Coturnix japonica: one gene and its partners. The protein of the gene in region 1 purifies or fractionates together with the protein of each later gene. This does not show direct contact. Links are inferred from orthologs where the notes say so. Each region holds a gene or a part of one and is shown in the gene's direction. Other genes may lie near its edges.

Region 1 (4,171 bases):
ACTGCCAAAGCAGAGGAAAACAAGGCCAAGCACACACAGATGGTGAGCCCACAAATTTAATTTAAAATCATCCTTTATTATTCAAAATATTAAAATTCAGGCAAAAATGCCCAGAGGAGCTGCACTGATTAAAGTTCCCTAATGTTTCATGGCCAAATCTTATCGCTTCCTCCAAGGGTCACTGGGACAAGAAGTGAAACCCCTCTGGAGCACAGACAGAGGCAAAGCTCTACCTGCTGTACATCCTTTACCCAAACAGTTACTTACTGACCCAATCAGCTTCACTTAAAGCAAAGCACCAGCTGTTCCTTACCCAATTAATGATTGCCACAGCAAATTAACATGGCGTTACACCAGGCGTGGATGTGGTCCACAGAGCCCGAAATGCACAGAGCAATATGCTAGTGCAAAAATAATCACAGTAATATCTTTACCGTTAGGTAGCATCCTTCATCTGGAAGGACCGGGAGCTCCCTGTGCGGTGTGTGGCTGGCTTCGTGCTCTGCAGGAAGGATGTGGAGTGCAGGGAGGGGATGTATGGTTGGTGTTTTAAGAGAGATTGAGAGGAGCTGCCAGTGGGTGAGGCAGAACTGACTATGTGTACAGCTCTAGGTTCTTGTGATCCAAATAAATTGTTATTTAACTTCTTGTAAACCCACGTTATTTCTTGGTGCTCTGTGGGTTGTCCTGGGGTGTGGGTGCTGGTGTCCTGGGGTGCGTACAGACCTCTCCTGTCCCTCTGCTCTGTATTGTGGGTCCATAATGTTCTGCTGAGGAGAGCTGAGCTGGTCTCTTCTTGTCCAAGGCGTTCAGTCTAGTTAACACAAGGATGACTCCAGTCCTTAATCAGCCATTGCAGTTATGGCTCCACTATGAGCCTGTGCTTTGTATGATCCTGAGAACTCACCTTAAAGACCACATTCACAAATCAGCCCAGAGGACAGCGGTGTCCCTTTGCGATTATAGGGCTCTCTCATTATCATTACTGTTATTTACATAATGGTGGGCAGGGTTTGCAGCACTGGTTTCCAGCACATTCTGGGTGATGCCCGGGCCTGTTACATCCATCGGGTATCACAGCCCATATGTCCTTATGAAAGGGGCCCATCCCCCCCGCACACAGCGGCCTCTATTCCGCCCCTGCCCTCCTGTTACACCGCCACAACCTCCTCCGTACTACAACTCCCATCAGCCCTCTCGCCCACTGACGCCGCGTGCGTCACCCTGCTCCCGGCATACCCGTGGCCGCACAGCCCTCCGGGATTTGTAGTTCTCTCCCACCCCTCAGGCCCTCTCCGGCGGCGCGGCGAGGGACTCCATTTCCCGTGGGCCCGCGGGCAGCGCATGCGCTTTGTTGGTAGCGGGGGTGAGGCGTGGGGTGGGGGGGGGGTGTGAGCGCGGGGCAGCGCAGGTTGGTGTCGGCGCTGGCTGCGGCCTGGCACTGCGAGGAGGGGCGGCCCCGCGGGAGGATATGGACCCTGCCGAGGCCGTGCTGCAGGAGAAGGCGATCAAGTTCATGGTGAGAGGCCGCGGGGAGCCGAGGGGGCACCTGTGTGCGGGGCTGGGCCGGGGGGAGCACGGCGGGGCGGGGGCGGGGCGGGGTGTCCTGGGCCGCGGGGGGTTCAAGTGCTGTTGGGGGACGGGAGGGGGAGCCGAGCGGGGCGGGGGGCTGCGGGGGGGGATGGAACGCGTGGGGTTGTCGTGTTATTGCCTTCGTTCGTGTACTTGAGGCTGTGCTGTGCTGAGCCCCGGCCCCCGGCAGCTGTGTGCCGTGTTCCTTTCCGCCCTGTGCTCGGAGCTGTGCGCGCTGACACTCCGCTCTCACCTTCTGCTGCGTTGCAGTGATGGTGGATGCGCGGCCTGGGCTGCTGGGCCGCTCTTTGGCATGGCAGGCAGCTCTGGGGGTGATTGCAGCCCAGATGCTCTGCACCTTTACCTACATGTGAGGCTTTACACACTTGAACTTAATTCTTTTTTGACTTCAGTTGTTGATATGGTACACTCCGGTACCATCTGAATGCAATGTCAGTTTTGTGTGCCCAAAACTGGCCTTTCCCTATGGAAGCCATCGAAGTACTTGGCAGCACCTGGTGAAAGTTGACTTAGTGTTGGCCTTACAGTCCTACAGACCTGAATCTGAGCTCATCAGAAGGAAGCGATTCTATTAAACTTATGCCCAAGTGAAATCGAGGAAGTGCTGCTTGCAAATGTTTTCTTTTTAATTGAGCTTTGCAACATTTGTTTGAATTCTGCTTTTTTAATCCCGTAGAACTTGTTTCTCTTGTGGTTTGGTGACCTTTTTGCTGCTAGCCCTGTAGTCTGGCAGATTTATAGGGTCTCTGCTCAGTGAAGTGAGAAAATGCTATGGGTACCTTAAAAGGAAAGGTAGCAATTAGTAATAATGAACCACCTTCTTGGGTGTGCAGTTGGCCAGAGGAGTGTCCCTGAGCCTGCTGTGCTCATGTTGGGCCAAGCTGGGTGATGGCAGCCTTAACCTACATTGTGGCTTCCATATCTTCAAGTGTTCCTGTGTGCTGCCCTGACATCTCATGTGTTGCATTTGTCATTCTGTGCTTCAGTTCCCAGTGAATAGCTTAGTTCCTGGCATTTGAGATCTTCCATAAGGTTGGGCCTGGGACCTGAGGGAATCCCTGCCCATCTCACAGCTGGCAGTGTGCCACCCGAACAATAAAACTCCCTGATGCTGAGGAGAGACCTGAGCATGAGAGAGAGCTGCTCTTAGGAGAGCTGCATCTGGTAAGGGCTCCAGATAAAGGGAAGAATTATTGAGGATCAGGCTTTGCTGAGAGCTAAAAGCTAAACCAAGTTCCTTAATGTTTTATTAAAGTGCCTCTTGAAAGCAAAGTACATGCAAAATTGCAGTGAAAGAGGGAGCTTCCCTCTGATCCCCTTGAACTTTTGAGGTGTACGTGTATTTGTATGGGTTGAGAGTGATAAAAGCTTTTGTTTATATTTATATATTTATACCACATCTCAGGCTTTTGCTTCGACATTAATCTGTGTAGTACATCTCTCATTTTAATTATGTTGATGAAGAGTTTTTGTCAGACTTGGTGTGGGCTTTCCCTGTTCTCCATTTGCTGTCGGTGGAGGTGTATGCAGGTAGGTTGTTCCAATAAATGAGGTCCTGTTGTAATTGGCAGCTCAATGCTGCTGGGAAGTCTCCTGTTATTTCAGTCTGACAGCACTCAGGAAGTGCTTAGGTACTGCAGCAGTGGCAGTGCTACCTACTGCATGGAGGTAGTGGATCCTCAGCTAATGCTGAATCATTCACAGCATATTACCCTGTTCATCGAGTGTGTGATGCACTTTGTGTGCTGCTCCCTTCCCTGAAGAGCTCTGCTTTGGGTTGAGGTGGGCTTTGCTGTTAATTAGAGACTTTTCCCTGAGACCTCCCCAGAGCTGATGTATCTCACCACAGATGAATATTCAAACATCTGTAGGTGTGTGATCTATTATCTCTCCAGCTTTTTTGGTGGTGCTGTTTCTGATGTGAATTTGTGCTGGGTTTCATTTTGTGTTGAAGAGCAGCCCTGTAGGTGGTGTTATTTTGGGGCTCCTCTAGAAAATAATACATTTTCCACTTCATGCGAGTGCCTCATTTTTGGCAGTGACTTTGCGCAGTGCTCCTGAGTCACAAGGTATCAGGCAAGTCAGACCTGCTGATTTCATGTCTGACACTCAGAGAAAAACGTCACATGGAATCTTTGTCCAGTGCTAACCTTATAAATGACATTATCTTGCCTTAAAAGGGGCTATTTATTTTTTAATGTGTCTATATTCATTACCTTCAAGGTAAATCCAGACAAGGTTCTGGATGCTGGTGTGTGTGTGTAACTTTTCAATGAGCCTAAAATCTCATTATTCTCCCTGGCCACTAGTGTCTCCATTACTCACTGATAAAACAGTGCTGCATTCAGGTAATATCTGCTACCAGTGTGTGTTCAGCCACCATACACGTCTTCTGATACTTTCAGCTTTAAGTAATGTATTTAACTTCATTCACATACTCAGTTTACCTCTCTGTTTCAAGAAGGCCTAATTTATTCCTGATATTCAGCTGTGGTGGATAAGCACTATGCAATACTGGGCAGCTGCTCACAGGGAGGGCTGTATCTGCTGGCGAAGGGCTGTTTTCTATCACACGTTC
Region 2 (3,500 bases), on another chromosome or scaffold:
GTAATCTTCTGTACCAAATACAGAGAAAGGGAAATAAAATGATGGAGGAAGTCTGCCATGTCCTGCTCCTGCTGTCACCAGTGCTGTGGGAAGTTGTGCAGCTGTACCTCCTTGTAACATTGAGATCCTAGTGTGCCCTAGAAAATACCCTTTTCATGGGCTGCTGCTGACTGTAAATAATTCACTGGTTTGCAACTCCTTCAGGAAACCTGGAAACATGCTATTGAAAAAGCAAAGCACATGCCTGATCCTTGGGCAGAATTTCATCTTGAGGACATCGAGACAGAACACGCCACTCGCTACAGGTCTGGGGTTTTTTTGCTCTTAATGCTGAAATGAAACAGAATCTGATGTCTTATGCAGGGCCTGTGAAATGTGGTGTAGAGTGTGTGTTCAAAGTGAACGTCTTAACCAAACCTCCCAGAGGTACATAAATACTGCATGCAGTCAGAAAATGAAACCTTTCAGCAAGACACTGTCTTGTTCTTCTCCCTCTACCACCTGAGCAGTTTCACTATGCGGATAGGAAACAAGAATTTTCTGATTACCTTATTAATTATGAAAACTTAATCTAATAAGGAAATAAATTCCAATAAACAAGCAGATTTTTTGCAGTGTTTTATATTTATGTTGCAAGTATTTAAATAGCTTAGGAAAAAAATGATACTCTGTGCCTTTCCCAAAATAACAGTTTCATTGTTGCTTACCCATGCAGTATTGCTGTGGAATTTACATCCTTACAAAGCCCAGAATAGCTCAGCATGGTGTACGTGCTGAAACCCAGTCTGGCCTGTGAGCTATTCTCAGTGCTTTAGGCCTTGCCAAAACATTTACCCTACTGACACAGGTTTCTAGGAGGAATGGGTAGGAGTTAGAGACCAGTTAATGACCCCTGAGCATCAGTGTTTGGGGAGGCCTCATTCCTATCACATGACACTGTCACTCTGCACTCTCCTTCCCCACAGACTGCATTGGGTTTTACTGTATTGGGAGTTATGGGGGTGAGGAGAAACTGGAGTCATGGTTCGTATTACTGTGGGGTTATGCAGAGACTTGCTCCCCTCGTGATGCAGCGTTGTGCCCCTCTGCTTGTCACAGCCATAGCCTGTAGAGGTTGGTAGAGCTCTTTGTGCCCCCAGTGAGCTGCCATCGCAGAGGAGATTTACTACCAAAGTAGATGAGGCCTATTTTGCATCATTACAAAACTCATGCTTTGGTAGCAGAGTCTGTTTACTGTCCATAGTATGCAGCGTCCATTTGAAGAGGGATAATTTTTTTCTTTCTCATCTGGAAGACTAACCATGTAAGGAGGGCAGGAGCACGGTGGGAAGACTGGAAGTTGTACTGAGTGGCAGCAGGACTTTCAAGCAATTAATTAGAGATGAGGAAGTACAGGTAGTGAAGGTGGGAGGATTTTGGTTTGTTCTGCATTATTTTTAAGAAGCACAACTTCTGGGTTTGCAGGTACAATGCAGTTACTGGAGACTGGGTTGAAGATGAAGTTCTCATCAAGATGGCTTCACAAGTAAGACCATGCTGCCCTTTGTGTTTATTAGCCCTCAAATTTATCATTTCCTTGTTATTATTGACTAGTGGCAGCAGGATTTTTTTCTCACATAAAAGCTTTGATTCTTCTTTTCTCCTTTCTTTTCTGTTCTGGCTCACCCATTATGTTTTGGGATCCTAGCACACTTTTCTTCCCCCAGAAGAGTAGAATGTGGAGTCAGGCCTTCCCCACCAGCACTGTAAGAGCCATTTGATTCTTTTCCCATCTCAGATGGGAAGAGATCTCTGTCCCATCTCAGCGCTCCCATTTCCTGCTGGCCTTATCTCTGCCTGGCAGTAGGCCTACTTATTTTCACTATGTGGGGATAGAAGCTACTGAAACTTGGCAGTTAAATCCTGTGATTAGGGATGAGCTGGAATCACCTTGCTCTCTGTGCTTCTTTTCCCCAAATTATTGTCTTTAGTGGCTGGTGGGTTTCCAGTTTTCCTTGAGGGTATAGAAATGCTATGGACCCTATTTGAGAAGTACTCCAGAGTATAAGGGGGGAGGCACTGTTGTGTCTCTTACTGGTTAGAAATTAACTTTGTGAAAATGACAGTGATGGGTTTGTTTATTTCTTTTCCCAGCCCTTTGGCCGTGGAGCAATGCGAGAATGTTTCAGAACGTAAGTGTTTGTTGGCTTTATCTTTATTGCAGTATTTTCCTCTGTGGTGACTGGAGTTTCTCACAGATGTGACATCTATGTAAAGTGCAGCTCCCCATTGGATCCCTGCTTTGTATTTCTAAAAGGCATTACTAAGGGGTTTACTTCTGTTTATGCAACTCCAACCACAGCACAGGGAGTGGGATTCAGAATGCAGATCATTCTCTTAGGGAAAATGCAAGGAAGTGCAATGTAGGTATCCAGTGAGCTTGCTTTAGAAAGCCAACCCATAGCCTCTACTGGAACCACAGCAGCATGGATAACGTGCAGTTGTGCCTGGCTCTAGCAAGTCTAATCATTCTAGCAATTAGAAATTTGTAAATTCGTGCTATTTTAACCATCTCTTGGAGGTGAAATACTCATAAAAATACAGAAGCTGCAGCTTTGTTTCATTTTTATTGGGTTCTAAATGTGCCATAGTATCTTTAAATTCAGTGTGGCTGTGTGCGCAGTCTGAAGGCCATCTTCAGGCCCTTATTTGGGCACAGAAAAAAGGGGAAGAATAGTTGAGCTCATGCAGTGTCAACTCAGAATGCCTTCCTAGGTAAAGAAGTCTGTCCTCACGGAGTTTCCTTTGGATCATGTGTACCAGACATCTTGTCCTGAGTAAGACAGAGCTTGAACGTTAGCAGTTATTCATTCCAGAACAGTGAAGTGTGAGGGAAGGCAAGAGGAACTATTTTGTTGCCTTCTGAATATTAGGAAATATGTGTGTGGGCATCAGCATCTAGGTGTAAATGAGTCCGTGCCAGAAGAGTGCCCTGTTCTTTCAGTTTCTGGTTATGACTTTCCTGGAAAACATACGTGTGCACTTTTAGGTTTTGTCTCTTCGTTCCAGCTGCAGAATCTAAAGAGGCTGCATTTCATGTCTGGTTTCATTTCTAGGAAGAGAAGCTCCTGAGTTTCAAAAACAACTTGAGGAAAAAAGGGGCAGAGTAACCTCTCAGTCATTCAGTTTTTCATTGTTTTGGAATGGATTCATGCTGGTGGCTCTGTGCTTGCAGAGACACGTAGATAAGAGCAGTAAAGAAGCCTAGGAAGTAACAAATCTTAATCTGCTGACACTGCTTTTAGTTTGTATTTCTGCATGACCAAGTTTCACATTAGGGGATATCTTGAGTAGTGACAGAAACAGATTTATCTTTGCAGCTTAACCTATTGTACAAAGAAAATGTAATTTATGTGCCATCTCCCTGGTCCTAAATCTTCTATAAATCTCTGTGATGCACTGATAATTCCCATCTGGAGTTCTGTAGATTTATACAAGTCTTTCTTCATTACAGTGACAGC
Region 3 (3,500 bases), on another chromosome or scaffold:
GTTGCGATTTTGTATTTCTCTCATATTTTTCAGGGTTCTGATTCTTCATCTGAAACGATACAGCTTCAATGTAGAGTTGTCTCTCAATCATAAAGTTGGGCAGCAGGTGGTTATTCCAAGATACTTAACCCTGCTTTCACACTGTACAGAAAGCACCAGGCTGCCACTGACGCTGGGCTGGAGTGCCCATTCTGCAATGTAAGTGTACAGCCTAGGTTCTGCCCATGCTGTGTTATGCACCCACAGTGAGGTTGTCAGTTGTCAGATCTACTCCATCTGACGTCTGCATAAAGAACCATCAAAATTATGCAGCCTCAGGTGCAAGATATTTAATCTAGCCTCTTGGTACAACATCTAGGTTTCTTTTTGTTTGCAGCATGCTTAATTCTGCTGAGAAAGCGTGACATCATTCCTTTTTCTGTTAATTTCCACTTGCACACTTCACAATGTCATTCATTTTTCATTGTCTTTACTGTGCTACTACAGTATCTGAGCACTTCATGTGTTGAAAATACTCTTCCCTAGGGCAGTTATTTTGGTACAGCTGCTTGTCCTGAGACACAGAGATTAAAAGTAGCAGAAGTCACACAAATGTGTCAGAATAAGAAACAGAAATCCCTTAGGTCTCTTGCCTTGCGTTGCCTTCTGACATGCTGTAAATGTAGTGAGATAGAATACATCTGGTATCTGTTCAGCAATACAGCACGTGGTCTTTTGCTGGATACTTAGTGGAGTTTGAGATTTACCTCGAGGCTTCTTAAGGTTTTGCATTAAGACTAGAAATCTTCACCTCCTAAACATAATGAAAAGTTTAAGCTAACCAATGCAGGCATGCTTTAAAACATATTTTAAATGGCTTTTCAATGGTTGCCCGTTTGGTAATTGTTGAAACCATTTTGATTAACCCAAACAGTGAAAAGGTGACAAAGCTGGGGAGAAATTGCCTTGCTTTGAAGAGAATGATGGAAATGGTTCCTGTGTTGGTAACCATGTGTTCGATGGGTGTAGTGGTAGCAATGGACTTCAGGGAGTCCATAAAAGGATCAAATGGAGCAGGAGATTTGCTTAGAAGATCTAGAGGAGAAATGGAGATGTGGGATGTGCCAGAAAACCAGCTAATCCAGGCAGCAGCAAGAGACTGTGGTTTGGGAGCAGGAACTCAAGTGTTGCTGGGAACCAGGGAAAGAGGAAAGAGTTCCCTTGGCGTGGGAGTCCAACGCCTTTGATTTGAGAGCTTGTCCCTAAGGGTGCATCGCTAAGAAGTGCAAATTTAAAGGATTACATCTGGTTTTGAACTGCTGGTGTATATTTATGCTATCGTGGAGTTCTTACTCTAAAAACAAGCAATTAGCAAGCACGTAATGGTATTCTACTTGCTGCTTTGAACATGGATTTGCATGCACAGCAGACATGTAAACATATATTGTTTTAAAGACTAACTGCTGCGATAAATACTTTGCTTTTGTAATAGCTCCCGTCCCCTGAAAGCCTCCCAAATGGTGAATTCCTGTACTGTAAGCACTTCTACACCTTGTAGGTGAGTGAAAGTTTTGAAATGCTCTTGGCCTGGCATTTCATGGCATGGCTTTTGAGACACTTTGGAATTGCATAGTTCTTTGTCTGTGCTGTCTGTTGTGTAAGTTGTTTTCGGTGCTGTTTTTTGATATCTGAGCTTTATTGGTGTTAAGTGTTAGCTGAAAGAAATGTTAATGCTACCATCTGCCTAATTGACACAGTCCTGTTAGCGTTTCTCTTGAGAACCTTTGGGAACTCAAAAGAAAGCAAAGAAGAATTTTTTCATGGAGAAGGTTTGATGAGAGCTGCGTTTTGTTTGTGCAGATAATGGGTCAGTGCCAAGTATTTTAAACCGCCTTGCATTCATTGTCACAAACCACACATATAAGAAACAACTTGTTTTCTAATTCTTCAGTCTGACTCCTTTTTTCCCTGTTTTTATTTATGGAGCTGCAATGAGGTTAGGAAACAGGTGGTTGGCTCCTTGAGCTTGTTTGTAAAGGTGGGAGGATGTGATTATGGCCTGAGAGGCCAGTTTTTGACATAGTGGGAAATGTGAAATTGCACTGGTGAGTTTCACATTGTGGAATGCATGTAGAACAAATTTCCTAATTGAGGACGTATCTCAGACTCAAAGTCTCTCATCTTCTGCTCTAAAGAAACAAGGATTTATTCCAGTGAAGGAGCTTTTTTTGTTTTGGAAAACAAAAAATTATGCAGACTTGCAACTTTCTATCCTAGTATTAATGTGAGTATATCCTAGTATTGATGTGACAAGTCTTGCGTCCAGCTTTGTAAACTTCAGGAGTCAAGTAAATGGTTTCTGCTGAGTTCTACCTGTTATTGTGGCCTTGTCTCAAATGAATGCTGTCCAGGACTGCTGTGTGATGAAGTGCTGGCTCTTGGCTTGTGTAATTCTGTAGCGATTGTGCTACATCGTGTAACAGGTGTCTTGTGAAAGAGAAAAGCAACCCTTGGTAGGCTGTGGGGTAAACAAGCTATGAAGTGTTTATTTATTGCCTGCATGTTGGTAAATTTCTATTTTCAACACTTGCAGCTTGTTCCCTAAATTGTATCTCCCCACAGCCTGAAAATCTGCTGTAGCAGTTATTCATTGATTACTATGAAACGGATTTGTGCAGTGCTTTGAAGTTCTATAGCTGTGCTTTTTAATTTACAGGAAGTATACTTTAAAATCAAAGAGCTCTGCAGCTCTCTATGTGGATTCAGACAGTGACGATGAGCCCCTGAAACGCTCTGTTGCCAATACCCAAAGGGTGTGCAACATACAGTTTAGAGATCAGCAACAGCCTCAAGAAGAGCCAGAAAAGGTAAGGGGGGGGGGGGGGGAGAAAAAAAGTACAAACTTCAGTATGCAAAGGAGCTGTAAGTACTTGTGGCTTGCCTGTGTTTTCCTTAGCATAATGAAATTGATGTAAGATGTTTTCATTCCTAATTAGTGCAGTGATGCTAAAAGGGTGTGTTTTGCCATGCCAGCTAATTGACCTCTCTACAATTGTCTTGGGTTCCCACTGGGAACAGAGGTAATTGTGTTGTAACTGCACTTGTGGGGGTGTGTATACCAGCTGCTTGGCAGTTTTGCTGGTCCTTTGGGCAGCTTTCACTAATGACTTTTCCATACAGAATTGTAATGGAGTGTCAATAATAAAATTACGCAGCGAAGCCCTTGATTAAATTAGAGCTAGTATGCATTGGGCAAGACAAAATAGTCAGTTGAGAGAAGTTCTTGTGGCTGAATAAAAACATGCAAAGAGGTGGATACCTGCAGTTTCTCATCTAACGAGAGGATCCTGATCCGTGTGATATATATAATAAATGATAAAATAATGAGTATTGAATTTCCAGAAGACAGAGCTGGGAAGGACTACAAGTGTGCCGAAGCTCAGAAGTACAGTTAGAATGATCTGAGAAACTGCCTAAAAATAGGAGGGGTGGTTCAGTATAAAGCAGGCTGAAGGCACTAA
Region 4 (3,500 bases), on another chromosome or scaffold:
TCTGTAACTCTCTTGCAGATTCACAGTTTCAAGAAGTAAAAGATCCCTTGACGTGCTTTGGAAAGTGAATGGTTCTTTACTAGAATCATATTTTCTTTTCAAACAGGCCACTCCTCCGGTGAACATTCCAGGGTCGACTAAATTCACTCCCAATGGCAGCAGCTTTAGCATCTCTTGGCAGTCGCCTCCAGTTACCTTCACTGGCATTCCAGTAAGTGGATGATTAAAAAAAAAAGAAGAAAAAAAATAGTTTTTTGTGTGTTTTCACAGTATCTCATAACAGTAGTAATTTTGACATAACAAGTTAAATTATAGCCCAGTTCGCTTGCTTGACTGATTGTAGCCCTCCTGCCAGTCTCTTAAATGCAATACAGTGATTTTTGTCTTTTGGGGTTTTGTTTTGGTGACCACAAGCAGAGAACTGGACTTGACAGCATGCTTTTAAAGTACCTGCTTACAAAAGAACTTCCTGGTAGGTGCAGAGCCCGTCACTGCGTGCTTGTTTTTCTGCCACTGAGAGATCGCTTATGAGGCCAGAGAAAAAATGAACAAGGCAGTGGTTATGTTAACATGGTAATCGGATTGAAGCAGTAGGGCTGTTACCAAAGTGAACCCTGAAGATGAATTGTTGAAAAGCAACAGAAGGAATGAAGTGTGAAGTCTGACCCCAGTAGGGTACAGGGATGTATCCTCTACTGACAGCAGAAAATTGTGTGGCTTCGCACAAAAGATGTATTTAATGCGCTAAATATTTTCACTATTAGTTTTGATGTTAATACATGCTGCAGCATGACGAGTTTTTAATGAAGCATTAGATGCAAGGTCAGCTCTGGCTCTTTCTTCCAATAGATAATAGAACTGCAGAAGTTGGTTGGTTGCTGAAACGTAGATTTGCAGTAGTCCTAAATGTAAAGCAGTGCAGGTGTGGGTACTGTAGGGGGAGGTCAAAACCTTAATGAAAGCTTCAGAGGGATTAGGTGTCTGGTGCCTAGCATGGTGAGTGCTCGGGTTAAACGTAGTCACAGAATCACAGAATTATCAAGGTTGGAAAAGACCTAGAAGATCGTCTAGTCCAACCATTAGATCATCTAGTCCAGCCATTTGAAGTTTGAACTTGAAGTCGCTGCCTTCAAGTAATGGAAGATCTTCTGTGTAAGAAGGAGAAATAAATATATGTAAAATTTATTCTAATTTTTACTGGAAAGCATTTTTTGCTATAAATTAGGATTCCCTGATCATAAACTCCCTTCATATGATAGTTTCATTTAATATGATAGTATTAATATTAATACAATAGCTTCATTTAATATCGTGCTTTCTGAATTTTTACAACATGCCGCATAAATACACGTTGCTCATTCAAAGAACCATACAGCTTTTTTTCCTACTACCAGTGAATATTGGGCATGGTGATAACAGACGCTGTTTCCCTCCCTTTTCTTCACCAAGTGAATCTCCAACGCTTCTTAATGTCAACCTTTGGCAAATCTTGGAGATTTTCTCAGCCTGTGGTATCCTGCAGGTCTGATAAAAAACCAAAGTGGCTGAATCAATTACGCCGTGCTCTGCCAATGAATATGTATTAAGTTCTATCAAGGAACAACTCGCAGTGAAAGACATCACGCTGTCAGCAATTTGAACAAGAGCGCCTTGACAGAGCGTGCTTTCTGCGAAGTTCCTCGAGTATTTGATTTCACAACAATGGGGTTGATACAGAGCAATTACAAAACTGGCTCCTTCTGTGGAATAGCAGAAATCGGTGCCAGTAGTGTTGGGAATCTAAAAGTGCAATTATCCACACTGTAAATCAGACTCATAAGAGGACAGGATTAGACATGTGTGTTGAGTTTACTTGCTCAAGCAACAATGTTGAGCTCGAGCTTTAGAGCTGACACTTCTTAAGGAATTTAAGAGATGCCAAATGGCTTTCAGAGAACTGTGTGAAGATGCCAGTGATTTAGGTACAATTCAGAAATAATCCCAGTGCAAAAACCTTGGGAAGTGCTGATGGTTGCAGAGTAATAAAGCACTCTGGGAACCACATGATTTGATTTTCATGTGTCTGCTACATAGGTAGTAGTAGTGCCTCCTGTTTATTTCCATGGAAACTCCAACAGATACAAAGGGCACAATAACACTGGTTGATAGAGCACGTTCTCAGGTACAAAACACAGTTTTTCAACACAGTCACCACCATTAGCTGTACATTCTTGCCAGCCATGAACAAGAGCCTTCGTGAATCAACACGGAGGTGATCCAGTGTCAGAGTTCTTAAAAAGAATGAATGCATGCATTTGCTGCGTTCCCCCAGACCTGAAGTGATGCTGCTCTGTACTCCAGTTTACTCTGCTTGGGTGACTAGACATACAGAAAAGCAACATGGAGCTACTATTGTGTATATATTTACACCTTCAGCTTTGTCAGACCTCCAGGTTATTCGTGTTTGTATGCTAGATACTGATTTCTCCTTGGTATGTCAGCCATTGTGTATTACAAATTACTTCTTCTGGAAGCAGTTCTACCTGTTTGCACCAAACAAAGCAGTGTTGCTGCCATTGACTTAAAGGTGTGTTTCTATTGCCTTCACGTCTGCATGCAGTTCATAAATGACCTTTTTGTCTGTATTGACAGGTCTCACCAACTCACAGTCGTCCTGCCGGGAGTGGGGAGCAGAAGCAGTCCCACACAGTTCTTTCCTCACCACCCAGAGTAGCGTTTGGATTGAGGTACGGGACCATTGGCTCCTGCTGACAGACCAGCAGCTTCAGACCTTGGGGGGTGTTCTGGGGAAGAATGAGTTGTCGAGGAGTGAAGAGGGCACAAACTGAAGGAGAACTGCAGGTCTTATGCCAGGTAGATGTGAAGTTCAAATGCCCAGTTTGACTCTCGGATCATTGCACATGCTACAAATGGAACTCAGGATGTTCCCAATCTGTAGACTGTGCCCATTGTCAGTAATGAAGAAACACGTATATATGCAGGAGAATAATCACAAGGCAGATCCTGTGTGCCAGGCCGTATCTCATGCTGGTATTAAACAGTTGTGTCTGTACACGCACCTGATTTAAGGACTCTGGGTCTGGAGGCACTGCTGCACTGAGCACTGGGTCGTTCCTTGTAGCACTGCTCCTTAAGTTTGCTACGTGTTGAGTAGAAAAGTTCCGTTTTAACAGTTTAATCATTTTCTGCACTTGTCTTTTGAGCTTTAAGTATGGTGCTAGGATGGAGCACACGACAATCACAATGGCATTAAAAGCAGGTATTGCCTGCTTTGCTGGCTTCAGGGAGGAAAAGAGCACATGAACACGTTGCAGCTGAGGGCTGAAACTTGTTTTTAATTGCCTGGATGTTGTTCAGTGTGTGAGCTCAGCAAACCACACAGGAAGGATGTACAAACTTAGGAGCTGGCAGCTCTTCCCCTCTTTTGCATAGCTGCTGCATGCTTACAGTCAAGGTCTGCTGCTCTGAACTGTGCGAGGTATTTGTAGTGCAGTGCTACA
Region 5 (4,043 bases), on another chromosome or scaffold:
CACCATCACAGATTAATGCAATGGTTGGGTTGGATGGAACCATACAGGTCACCCAGCCCCCACCCCTGCCACAGGCTGGCTGCCCCCCAGCTCAAGCTGCCCAGGGCCCACCCATGGTCTTGGGCACCTCCAGGGATGGGGCACCACAGCTCTGGGCAGTGTGTTTTCAAGGCTCAGTCCGAGCTTTGGTCACCACCTGCAGGCTGCTGGGAGGGTGGGGGTGTGTTCAGTAGGAGGGCTCTGGGGATGCCCATCGGGTGCCCGCTGGGTGCCGAGCCGAAGCGCTGCTGCCCTGCATAACCTTCGCCTGCGGCCGTCCTTTAACCTCCGGTGCTGGTAACCCAAAACGAGATTGCTGGAAATGAGAGAGCAGAGGAGTCAGCTATCTGATTCCAGGCCACAGGCACATGCCTGGCCTTCGTGGATATATTAAGTAAGGGACATTTTAAAACAAAACCACCCGCAGTAACCTTATCGTGAGGCTGAAGCCGCAGCCCAGCTGCTAACTCCGAGCTGCCCACACGGGCTCTATCCGATGCTGCTGTTGGGATTTCACAGTGTTTTGCCCCAAATCACCATCTCCGAGCCCTCAGTACAACTTGAGCCCGAACTGCGAGCCCTTGGCTTCTGGGGGGTCTGTAGATAAGTGCAGATCACTGCTGGGCACTGTCTGCTCCTCTCCTGGGACAGCACCTCAGACCCGTGACTGCAGGAAATTTGGCCTCTTTGCTGCATTCTGTACGCCCTGTATGTATGCATTTCTGCGCAGAAATAATTCAGCAAACAAAATCTCGGAGACAAATTGCTGATTGCATCAGCCCCAGCTTATGAAAGCTGATCATAGGGAGGACAATGTAACCCAACTCTCCGCCATCCCACTTGCCGCCCAGGAATGCCATCGCTCCACTCGGATCCTCTTTTTAGGGGGACTCCAAAATCCTTGGCAACATCCCTTAAGGTCATGAGTAAACCCCGAGCCTCGGGACGGCTCGGAGAGAAGGGAGCAGCCAAAGGGCTCCGGCAGCGGGGATTACCGACGCGCCGCGGGAGTGTTGAAGAACGGGAGTCGGGTGCCGAGCTCCTGCCCCGCTCCGCTGCGGGACGGCGGGGCAGAGCCCGAGGGGCGGCCGGGAAGCAACCGGGGTCGGGGCCACCCGGGGCCACGGACCGGCCGCCCCGCCTCCACCCCCCCCCGGCACGTTGCACGGCGGAGCGGGCGGGGGGAGGAAGGCCGCCGCTCGCCGACACGTGAGCCTCATGTGACGGCGATGGAGGGAGGGAGGGAGCGGGGGGGGGAGCCCGGCCAGACGTGCCGGGAGTCACAGGGTAACGCACGTCGCCGCCGTCCACCCACTCGGCCGCATTTAACCCGGCCCTCCGCCTCCCTCCGCTCCTCAGCCGGCGAGGCGGGGACGCGGCATGAGCTGCCCGCGCTGAGCTCCGCACCGCACCGCACCGCTCCGCTCCTCCCGGCTCCCGCGGCACCGCTCCGCTCCGCGCCCCCATGGAGCGCATCCCCAGCGCGCAGCCCCCGCCCGTGTGCCTGGGCAAACTGCCCGCCCTGGAGAGCGCCGATGTGCCGGGGTAAGGCTGCGGGGGGGACAGGACGACACGAGAGCGTCCCCCCGCCGCGGCCCCGGGGACAGGGGTAACCTCGCTGCTTTCGTTTCGCCCGTGCAGGCTGGACTTCGCGCACATGTACCAAGTGTACAAGCCCAGGAGGGGGTTAAAGAGGAGCGAGGACAGCAAGGTAACGGGGTGGGCGGTGCGGGGCGGGGGTCAGCGATCGTTGGGATGGGGGGGAGTGAGAAAGAGAGCTGAGCTTCTGTGGGGTGATGCGGGAAGGGGGGAAGGGGCCTCCACTGGGTAATTCTGGGGGAAATAAAAAAGAAATGCTGCGGGGTGGGGGGCGGAGGGGGTGCGTGAGTATTTGGGTGGGGAGGGGGGGGGAAAGCAAAAGGAAAAGGAAAAAAGAACAGAGGGTGGAATGCGTGGTGGGTTTAGCGATTATTTGGGAAGGGGGAAAAAAAGGAAAGAAGGCAAAAAGACGGAGGGTGGGTGCGGAGCGCTGACCCGCCGCTCCTTACAGGATACCTACAAGCTGCCCCACAGGCTGATAGAGAAGAAGCGCCGCGACAGGATCAACGAGTGCATCGCCCAGCTCAAGGACCTGCTGCCCGAGCACCTCAAGCTGACGGTACGGGCACAACGGGGCTCCGGGCCCGGCCCTGCGTTGAGCGCGCGATGCCGGCGGGGGCAGCAGCGCCGAGGCACGGAGCTGTGCTCGGGGTTGGGCGTCCCCAAATACCCCCGGGATGTGGGGCCGGGGGCTGCCCCGCGGCTGCTCTCTGTGTGTTCCGTCCAAATTCCGGATATTTCTGTTCACAGGAAGCACGACTTGTGCCTTCCCCAATTAGCAGCGCTGCCCCCGAGTCCCTGCCCCAAATCGCCCCCACCTTTGCCGTGGGAATGTCTCCCAGCGCCTATTTCCACCCCCACCCCCGCAGCGTCCAACGCGTTGTGTGCTCTGCCCGCAGACCCTCGGTCACCTGGAGAAGGCGGTGGTGCTGGAGCTGACCCTGAAGCACCTGAAGGCGCTGACGGCGCTGACGGAGCAGCAGCAGCAGAAGATCCTGGCGCTGCAGAGCGGGCTGCAGGCAGGTGCGTGAGTGCAGCGTGCGGGGACACTGCGCGGGGAAGGGATGCCTGAGCCTCTGCCCTTTGATTGCCATCAGTTTCTCTCGCTTTGCTTGTGCAGAGCAAGTGCAGCTCTCCATGGGGTCGGAGCCAGGCGTGCTGTGCGGTCGCTTTCATTTTAAAGTGGATTTGAAGTAGTTTTATTTAAAGCGCAGCTTTGCTGTGATGCCCTCTCCAAAGTCGTTCAGCTCTCTCCATTCATGAGCTTTGGATCCTGGTTCTGCGCTTTCCTTTTCCCCCAGAGCACACAAACACCCGCTGTCCGTGTGCAGATCTGTGTTCCCTCATTCTGCAGGTGGACGGGGCTCAGCACAGTGGCTGCTCGCTCCCTCTGCTTCCTCCTGCTGCTTGCACACGTGGCATTCACATGGCTCTGATAAAGTCAAACTGAGCTTGGCCAACGAGGTGCCACTGCCCTGCAGGGACAGCACCAGGGGAGACCCATTGGCAGTGGGGGCACAGCGTGGCATTGAGGGGTCCTGCTGGGTGTGGGATGCACTGTCTGCTTGTTCCCCAGTGGAAGTGCCAAATGCAGAATTGAAAGATGAAGGGCACGGGTAGAAGTGAATGGAGGGATGTGAAAGTAGCAGGTTGGATTCTGGCGCATAAGTTGTGGGAACTCAGGTTGGCCACTGAGTTTGCTGTGCTGGCTGTGTTGTACCGGACGCGTGCTGTCAGCCTGGAGGTGGTGATGGAAGTATTTGGCGTGCTGTTAATTTTTAATTTCTCCCTGTTAATGTTTCCTCAGGTGACCTGTCCGCGAGGAACCTCGACTCCAGCCAGGAGATGTTCCGCTCTGGCTTCCAGCTGTGCGCCAAGGAGCTGCTGCAGTACGTGGCCAAGCACGACAACAAGGAGCTGAAGGCAGCGCAGCTGGTGGGGCACCTGCACCGCGTGGCGGCCGAGCTGCTGCCGGGCAGCCCCAAGGACCTGAAGGAGAAGACGGTGCCGGGGGGCAAAGCGGGCGAGGGGCGCGGGCAGAACTGTGTGCCCGTCATCCAAAGGACATTCGCTGCCTCCAGCGGGGAGCAGAGCGGCAGCGACACAGACACGGACAGCGGCTATGGGGGGGAGCTGGAGAAAAACGACTCCAAACCGGAGCAGCCCTATTTCCCAAAGGATACCGAACTGAAATACGCCGTCCAGGAGAGGATCAGCTCCATCAAGCAAGAGAGCGAGGACCCTCCGGCCAAGAGGAGCAGGCTGGAGGTGCCTGATGACGACAGCCCCTTTGGCAACGAGGTGATGGGCACTGCGGGCGGCTTCCTGCCCCCCCACGCCCACCAGCCCCCCTTGTGCCTGCCCTTCTACCTGATCCCACCATCCGCCACTGCCTACCTGCCCAT
Region 6 (3,490 bases), on another chromosome or scaffold:
CAATCAAATAAACAAACAACCAGGTTCTTCAGACAGATTTTGTTGGATAAGTACAGTGCTTAAAGCTGCCTGCAAGCTAATAGAATTAGGCTGCTTCTTGTAGAGGGTCATACTCAGTTTTCCTTACTGACCTTTCTAAAATACTTCTGTGTGTTTCTCTTGAAGGGGATGTCTGCATTATCTCAGCCGAAAAAGGAGCCTGTTCTGGCATCAGTTAAGGATTACAGTCTATCAGAATTGTTGTCCCAGCTGGATTCAGGGATTTCACAGACTATGGAGGGCCCTGAGGATCTCAGCCGCAGCTCTTCTGAATCCAAACTTGCTGCCAGTGACAAGCGGCTTTCAGGAGTTTCGTCTGTAGATTCAGCTTTTTCATCCAGAGGCTCCCTTTCCCTTTCCTTTGAAAGAGAGAGTTCAGGTAATGGTCAGGATGTTTTTTTATTGTTGATTTTTCTGTTTCTGTGATTGTTTGGACTGGTGCATGGGAGCTTATGGGTTGGAGAGTGACTGTGTGAAGAGTAGTATGTCCTGTTGTCCTAACTGCAAATTTGTTTGCTGGTGGCAGCTATTAAAAAATAAAATAAAGAGATTCCCAAGCACAATATAGTGAGTAATAATACATTTAATTTGCTTTTGAAAAGAAGGTACCTGAATTCCCATCAAAACAATTACAGAATTGGTTGTGGAAATGTTGATTAGAAAGGAGATCATCTTGTCTAGTGCCCTGGTCAGAGTGGGACTAAAGCCAGTGCCAGTACAGGAGCTTGTAGCTTTTGCAGTTAATACTGAGCCCAAATGTGAGCACCTGTCTTTTGAGAAGATTTCAGCAGTTTTCTCAGCAGCCCCAGGAACATTGTAATAAAGACCCCCCTGGAGATCCCCTCCCTTTTCAATATGTACTGCATAAAATAGGCACCTCTTTTCCATGTAGGCAAAGCATGATAACTGTAGGGAAACAAACTTGCAGCTTCGTTTGTTCTTAGTTTCACTGGAGACAGAATAAGAGGAAGTGTGGGTTCCAAATGTGATGTAAACTGGCTCTGAAACTCCTGCAGGTACAGCAGTGGGAGAGGGAGGCTTTTTTTTTTGCAGTCAGAAGACACTACTGAAGCCACCAGCTGTGCTAGCCAGGGATGAGTAAGGGTTGGCAAGAATCAGCATTGTGATGTTGTTTTTTTCCGTCTAGATGTAGGTACTACGGACATACAGAAAAGGAAGCTAACAGAAGCCATTTTAGCTGGTGACACGAGCAAGCTGATGAAGATCCTCCAGCCTCAAGACGTTGACATTGTTTTAGATGGGAACTGCAGTCTTTTGCACTTAGCTGTTGAAGCTGGTCAAGAAGAATGTGTCAAATGGCTTCTCCTTTACAATGCTAACCCAAACCTCACCAACAAGAAAGGATCCACCCCTCTTCACATAGCCATTGAGAAGAAAATTAAAAGCATCGTGGAGCTGCTCATGGCAAGGAAAATCAATGTTAATGCCAAAGATGAGGATCAGTGGACTGCTCTTCACTTTGCTGCCCAAAATGGGGATGATTTCAGCACCAAAATGCTGCTTGATAAGAATGCATCCTTGAACGAGGTAGATTTTGAAGGCAGGGCCCCCATCCACATAGCCTGTCAGTATGGCCAAGAGAATATTGTGCGGATTCTGCTGAGAAGAGGCGTTAACGTGAACATCAAAGGAAAGGATGACTGGGTCCCTTTGCACTATGCTGCCTGGCAAGGTCATCTTCCCATCGTGAAGCTTCTGGCCAAACAGCCAGGTGCAAATGTAAATGTGCAGACCGTGGATGGAAGGACCTCGCTACACTTGGCTGCTCAGCGAGGTCACTACCGTGTCGCTCGCCTTCTCATAGACCTGGAGTCAGATGTCAACGTACCGAATGCACTCTCGCAGACTGCTCTCCACATAGCTGCTGAAACTGGCCACACAAGCACATCCAGGCTGCTTCTTAAACATGGTGCAGACATTGAGGCAGCAACAGCGGAAGGATGTACTGCTCTGCACTTGGCATCTCGCAGCGGCCATTTAGCAACAACGAAGTTGCTGATGGATGAAGGGGCCAATGTTCTTGCCAGAGGCCCATTAAATAGGACAGCGTTGCATCTTGCTGCAGAAAATGGGCACTCTGAAGTAGTAGAAGAACTTGTCAGTTCAGGAAACATCAATATTTTTGACGACGAGGGGTTGACAGCTCTTCATCTGGCTGCAAGAGGAGGGCACACAAAAACAGTTGAGGTTCTTCTAAAGCATGGGGCACTCACTGATCTGCAGAGACCCACATTTCAGACCCTGCTCCGGCTTACTCAGCAGGGCAGCAATAGCTCAGTTACTGTGTTGTTAAGTAAGACTTAATCAAAAGGTACGGTACTTGCTATCTTTCTGCCTGGTGTGGTGAGAAGGTTGCTGGAACTTGATTTACAAGAGCCTTGTCCAGCCGTGCAGTGACCTGCTCACCAGCAGCGTCAGCAGATGGACTGAGGGGCAACCAGCAAGGAGCTACTCATGTTTGAGTGTGTGAGAGAGGGAGCACATGGACTAAAGCCAAAAGCAAGGTTAAGAGCTGAAGCCCACCACACTGTGGTCTGGATCATCCACTCTGCGCGTGCCTGCCCCACCTGTATAGTGATATTCCCTTCCCACACAGACGTTGTGAGAGTAGGGTGCAACTTGTGGGTTCCCCTTGCTTTTTTTTTGACAAACTAATTTAAGGACTAATATTCTGATTTTCCTCAGAAAAAGGATGGATTAGGTCCCTGGTTTATTGCAGTGATCTATATTTTGGGCTTGAAGCCTCCAAAGTAAAATAAACCTAACACAGATCTGCTGGAAGTGAATGCAAGAGATGAAGAAAGAGCTATTCAAGATACTGTTAATCACAAACCCTGGCTAAGTTTCGTTTTCAGAAGGTATTCTGTTTAATGGAGATACACTGATTACAGTTTTCCATGTAATCAAGATGAATAAGGCAGACTGTCATTAACAAGGATCCAAAAGCTACATGAGCAGAAGTAAAAGCTTAACACTGATGTCTTCATATGCAGTACCATCTTCTATGCATTTTAAGATCAGTGAGCTGAACTGTGTTCTTAGTGGTTTCCCTTAAAAAGCCAAACAACAACAATAAAATCATTCTGGACTGTAACTGGATGGTATATTCTAACACCATTAAATCTATTTGCAAAGTGATGTTTGTAGGGACATGTTAGAGAGCCATACCAGCCATGCCACAGTACATGTCCTGGGAGAATGAACTGTGTGTTGCCTAGATTGATATACTGTGTATATAGTATTTCTATCTGTTGTATGCTTTTTTTCTACTGAAGAAAATAGATTGTGTAGAGTGGGTATGTTTTAATACACCTTTTAATTTCACTCTTGTCAAGGTCCGAATGTGGCACATTATTAATAAAAATATTGTGTTCCATATCTGCCCTGTATTTTGTCATGTTGGTTTTCTTTTCCCATCTTCATGCAAAGC
Region 7 (3,500 bases), on another chromosome or scaffold:
CCCATCCTCGTGCAAGCACCCGGACTTATTTGCTGCTATCTCTTTGCTGTCACTGCTGTGAACGCCCATTCTGTCGCCACTGTGAACGGCAGTGACCTCCCTGTGCTGCCTTTCCCTTCCTCAAACATCCTGTGTGAGCTCAACCCACCTCTCTTCCCCTCTTACAGAATGGGATCGTTCACAGGGACTTGAAGCTGGAGAACATCCTCCTTGATGCCAATGGGAACATCAAGGTGAGGGGCTGTTGGCCTATGGCCGTACATTGGGGTTCACTCAACAAAGAGCTCAGGGATGCTGGCACATGGGGGGGGGGGCTGTGATGCCATATTCCCCCTAGGACACGTGGTCCTTATGGCCTGGAATGAGAGAGCAAGGCTGAGAGATGGGGATCATGGGGCTGCCCCTGTGATCTGCAGCTGTGAAAGGGAGAGGCTGCAGAAGGAGAACGTCAGAGTTAAAGCCATCAGTGTTTATCTCTCTGCTGATAAGAGGGCAAAGTCTGAAGCAGGCTTCAAAACAAGACACACTGGGGAAGAAGTGGTTTCTTAGTGAAAGTCTCAATTGCCATAAGCACGGGGCAGCCAGGTGCTGCTTCACCCCATGGCAGTGCCTCCCTCCTGGGTCAGAGTGGTTGGAGATAAAGGGATGGGGCTTTATCTGTGCAGTGGGTGATGGTGTCATAGGGAGCAGAAGGCACAGTCCCAAAGTGGTGGCTGTCCTGAGCATAATGAGTGCCCACATATTAGCAGAGCTGATAGGTGCTGATCAACCTCATGTAGGTAAACCAGAGGAGAGCCCTGTGCTACTGCTCTGGTCACACCTGGACACAGCTCCACAGCTTCAGGTGGTGAACCCTTCCAACCTAAGCGATTCTATGATGATTCTTTGTTTCTCTCCAGATTGCAGACTTTGGCCTGTCCAATGTTTACCAGCAGGACAAATTCCTGCAGACATACTGTGGTAGTCCCCTCTATGCGTCACCTGAAATCATCAATGGACGGCCCTACAAAGGCCCAGAGGTACGTGGTACCCTGTGAGTTGGTCTCACTGCCTCTCAGCTTGGACTTGGGGCAGCTCTGGGTGTTCTATCTATATGGGAGCCAGGATGGCAGAGACTTCTTTGGGGTAGGAGTTCCCTGAGGCAGAGCAATGTGTTAACTGGGTGTTGTGTTTGGCTGGAGGCAGCTGGGGGTGGTCTTGCCCTATGTCATGTCCTGGGGTGGTGGCCTGGTCCTGCTGCCTTCACCCCAATGTCCCCATCCTTCCTGCAGGTGGACAGCTGGTCCCTCGGTGTCCTCCTCTACATCCTGGTCCATGGCACGATGCCCTTTGACGGCCATGACTACAAGACCCTGGTCAAGCAGATCACCAATGGTGACTACCGGGAGCCCACGAAGCTGTCAGGTAGGCAGACCCCACCTCCCCATGCATTCCACCCTCCAACCTGTGCTCTCCTGATACCTGACCTTCCTGTCTCCTCCAGAAGCCTGTGGGTTGATCCGGTGGATGCTGATGGTGAACCCGGAGCGCCGTGCCACCATTGAGGACATTGCCACACACTGGTGGGTCAACTGGGGCTACCGTGTGCCCGTCGGAGAGCAGGAGCTGCTGCGGGAGAGCAATGAATCCCCATTGGCCACAGTGGCTGAGTGGTTACGGTGCTCATCCCGACCCCTCTTTGAGAATGGCTCCAAACTGAGGTGCTTCTTCAAGCAGCACATCCCTGGCGTGGCCCTGGAGCGGCAGCGCTCCCTTAAGAAGTCCAAGAAGGAGAACGATGTCTCCCATGCACTGCAGGAGGGGGCTGCAGCTCCTGAGAACCCCTCCAAGTCCATCCTCAAGCGGCCCAAGGGCATCTTGAAGAAGAGGAATTCCTGCGAGCAGAAGGTGCCCGTCCCTCCGCCAACAGCTCCTGGGGGAGAGGTGAAGAGTGAAGATGGGGATGTGACTGCTGTGGGGCTGAGCCCAGCGCTACCCTCTGCAGTGCTGGGGGGCAGTGAGGGCAGCAATGTTGTCCCTGTGGCTGTGCCCAAGAAGGGAATCCTAAAAAAGCCCCCAAAGAGGGAATCAGGGTATTACTCATCTCTGGAATGCAGTGAATCTGGAGACGTCCTGGATGCAGGGAGCTTGGACCTTGAGGGCAACGCGTTTGCTGACAGTCCCACCACTGAGCAGGGCCCCCCTGTCCTCCCCAGCAGCCGGAAGGGCATCCTCAAACACAACAGCAAATACTCCAGCAATGCTGAGCCCCACAGCTCCCCCAGGCAGAGCTTTGGATGCTTTGATGAGGTGCCCTTGCCCAAAGCCCCCCTTGCCCCCCGCCCTCGCCCACCCAGCGCTGTGAGCGAGGACAGCATCCTCTCCACTGAATCCTTTGAGCAGCTCGACCTCCCCCCACGTATCCCCCCGGGCAGCAGCAGTGGGGCCATGAGGGGCTGCGTCTCTGCTGACAGCCTCCTACGCTTGGAGGAGGAGGAGGAGGTGGATGAAGGGCGCAGGCTGCGCCGCTGGACTGTAACACACTGCCCCAGTACATTGGGGGAGAGCCGCTTCTCTTTGGAGAGCTGTGATAACGTCACCGAGGTGTATCGACGTGCCATGGCCATCAACATGAAGCTGAGCTGAGGGTAGCCTACGGTTATAGGGATGGGGTCCCTTAGCTTGGGATGGCCCCTGCTGTGGGGATAGGGGGGCACAAGTTCCCCCTTCCCCAGGGCTTCCTTGTGTCCATAGAGGGGGCTGCCCTGTGTCCCCCCCCCCCCCTATTTATTTTGCAGCCTCCCATAGGAGGTTGGATGCACACAGGGATTGGGTTGTGGGGTGGGGAGGGGGATGCTCTTAGGGCATATCTCAGAGAGGAGGGGGTGATAAAAGGACCAAAGCCCTATGCTGCCCCATTGCCCCCCCCCTCCAGCTCCTGCTAAGGGGAAGAAGTGCTCTCCATGGCACCACACTGTCCCTCCATTCAAACAGGTTCATCTCATGGGAGGGATGAAATGGGTTGGGATGGGGGGTGGTTCTTTGCACTGTTTTATTTTTGGCTGCACATGATAACGGATGGGGCAGGTAATATACCTCAAACAACTGGAGATGTAGCAAGGAATGGATGGGAGGCTGTCCTGGCTGCAGGCTGGGGTTTGCTGGTAATGGGGTGCAGCCCCATCCTTCTGCTGCTCTAAGAAACCCAACTGGAATGAAGCATCGACTGGAATGAAGCACCAACTGGAAGAGAACATGCACTGTGATGGCAATGAGCTGAGGCTGCAGGAAACCCAGAGCTGCCCCACAACACAGTCTGGAAATGGGCTCTGATGTCTATTTTTCATGGTGTAAGGAAAGTTAAAAAAGAGCCTTTTCTAAGGCACTGCTTCTTTATTTATTGCCTCGTGTCCGAGTTAATGTAAAACTTCATCAGCACTGGATTTGCCGAGCTCAATATCAACCCTCCCCCCCCCCTTCTTGTGGGTGTTTGTGGCTGTGCTGCAGCCCCATTGCACTGT

Evidence for each region.
Region 2: the proteins of BTRC (region 1) and EEF2K purify together in Homo sapiens (affinity purification with western blotting; 4 studies listed by BioGRID and IntAct, with this or other methods). This does not show direct contact. The link is inferred for Coturnix japonica from reciprocal best matches to the Homo sapiens genes BTRC and EEF2K.
Region 3: the proteins of BTRC (region 1) and USP37 purify together in Homo sapiens (affinity purification with western blotting; 3 studies listed by BioGRID and IntAct, counting the BioPlex papers as one, with this or other methods). This does not show direct contact. The link is inferred for Coturnix japonica from reciprocal best matches to the Homo sapiens genes BTRC and USP37.
Region 4: the proteins of BTRC (region 1) and ZNF704 purify together in Homo sapiens (affinity purification with mass spectrometry; 3 studies listed by BioGRID and IntAct, counting the BioPlex papers as one, with this or other methods). This does not show direct contact. The link is inferred for Coturnix japonica from reciprocal best matches to the Homo sapiens genes BTRC and ZNF704.
Region 5: the proteins of BTRC (region 1) and BHLHE40 purify together in Homo sapiens (affinity purification with mass spectrometry; 3 studies listed by BioGRID and IntAct, counting the BioPlex papers as one, with this or other methods). This does not show direct contact. The link is inferred for Coturnix japonica from reciprocal best matches to the Homo sapiens genes BTRC and BHLHE40.
Region 6: the proteins of BTRC (region 1) and RIPK4 purify together in Homo sapiens (affinity purification with mass spectrometry; 4 studies listed by BioGRID, with this or other methods). This does not show direct contact. The link is inferred for Coturnix japonica from reciprocal best matches to the Homo sapiens genes BTRC and RIPK4.
Region 7: the proteins of BTRC (region 1) and NUAK2 purify together in Homo sapiens (co-immunoprecipitation; 3 studies listed by BioGRID and IntAct, counting the BioPlex papers as one, with this or other methods). This does not show direct contact. The link is inferred for Coturnix japonica from reciprocal best matches to the Homo sapiens genes BTRC and NUAK2.

The regions. Positions count from the first base shown.
Region 1 is NC_029521.1:20,074,910-20,079,080, reverse strand, and holds the start of BTRC (F-box/WD repeat-containing protein 1A), read left to right. Parts: upstream 1-1,371; 5' UTR 1,372-1,471; coding exon 1,472-1,519; intron 1,520-4,171. UniProt on the Homo sapiens protein: Substrate recognition component of a SCF (SKP1-CUL1-F-box protein) E3 ubiquitin-protein ligase complex which mediates the ubiquitination and subsequent proteasomal degradation of target proteins. Recognizes and binds to phosphorylated target proteins.
Region 2 is NC_029529.1:8,312,019-8,315,518, forward strand, and holds part of EEF2K (eukaryotic elongation factor 2 kinase), read left to right. Parts: intron 1-204; coding exon 205-305; intron 306-1,464; coding exon 1,465-1,525; intron 1,526-2,133; coding exon 2,134-2,171; intron 2,172-3,500. UniProt on the Homo sapiens protein: Threonine kinase that regulates protein synthesis by controlling the rate of peptide chain elongation.
Region 3 is NC_029522.1:24,228,754-24,232,253, reverse strand, and holds part of USP37 (ubiquitin carboxyl-terminal hydrolase 37), read left to right. Parts: intron 1-33; coding exon 34-198; intron 199-1,471; coding exon 1,472-1,537; intron 1,538-2,695; coding exon 2,696-2,846; intron 2,847-3,500. UniProt on the Homo sapiens protein: Deubiquitinase that plays a role in different processes including cell cycle regulation, DNA replication or DNA damage response.
Region 4 is NC_029517.1:109,697,281-109,700,780, reverse strand, and holds part of ZNF704 (zinc finger protein 704), read left to right. Parts: intron 1-106; coding exon 107-211; intron 212-2,631; coding exon 2,632-2,726; intron 2,727-3,500.
Region 5 is NC_029527.1:15,937,690-15,941,732, forward strand, and holds the start of BHLHE40 (class E basic helix-loop-helix protein 40), read left to right. Parts: upstream 1-1,243; 5' UTR 1,244-1,504; coding exon 1,505-1,584; intron 1,585-1,680; coding exon 1,681-1,750; intron 1,751-2,089; coding exon 2,090-2,197; intron 2,198-2,537; coding exon 2,538-2,661; intron 2,662-3,445; coding exon 3,446-4,043. UniProt on the Homo sapiens protein: Transcriptional repressor involved in the regulation of the circadian rhythm by negatively regulating the activity of the clock genes and clock-controlled genes.
Region 6 is NC_029516.1:98,228,089-98,231,578, reverse strand, and holds the end of RIPK4 (receptor-interacting serine/threonine-protein kinase 4), read left to right. Parts: intron 1-165; coding exon 166-418; intron 419-1,186; coding exon 1,187-2,364; 3' UTR 2,365-2,990; downstream 2,991-3,490.
Region 7 is NC_029541.1:2,385,387-2,388,886, reverse strand, and holds part of NUAK2 (NUAK family SNF1-like kinase 2), read left to right. Parts: intron 1-167; coding exon 168-233; intron 234-899; coding exon 900-1,019; intron 1,020-1,271; coding exon 1,272-1,404; intron 1,405-1,483; coding exon 1,484-2,625; 3' UTR 2,626-3,500. UniProt on the Homo sapiens protein: Stress-activated kinase involved in tolerance to glucose starvation. Induces cell-cell detachment by increasing F-actin conversion to G-actin. Expression is induced by CD95 or TNF-alpha, via NF-kappa-B.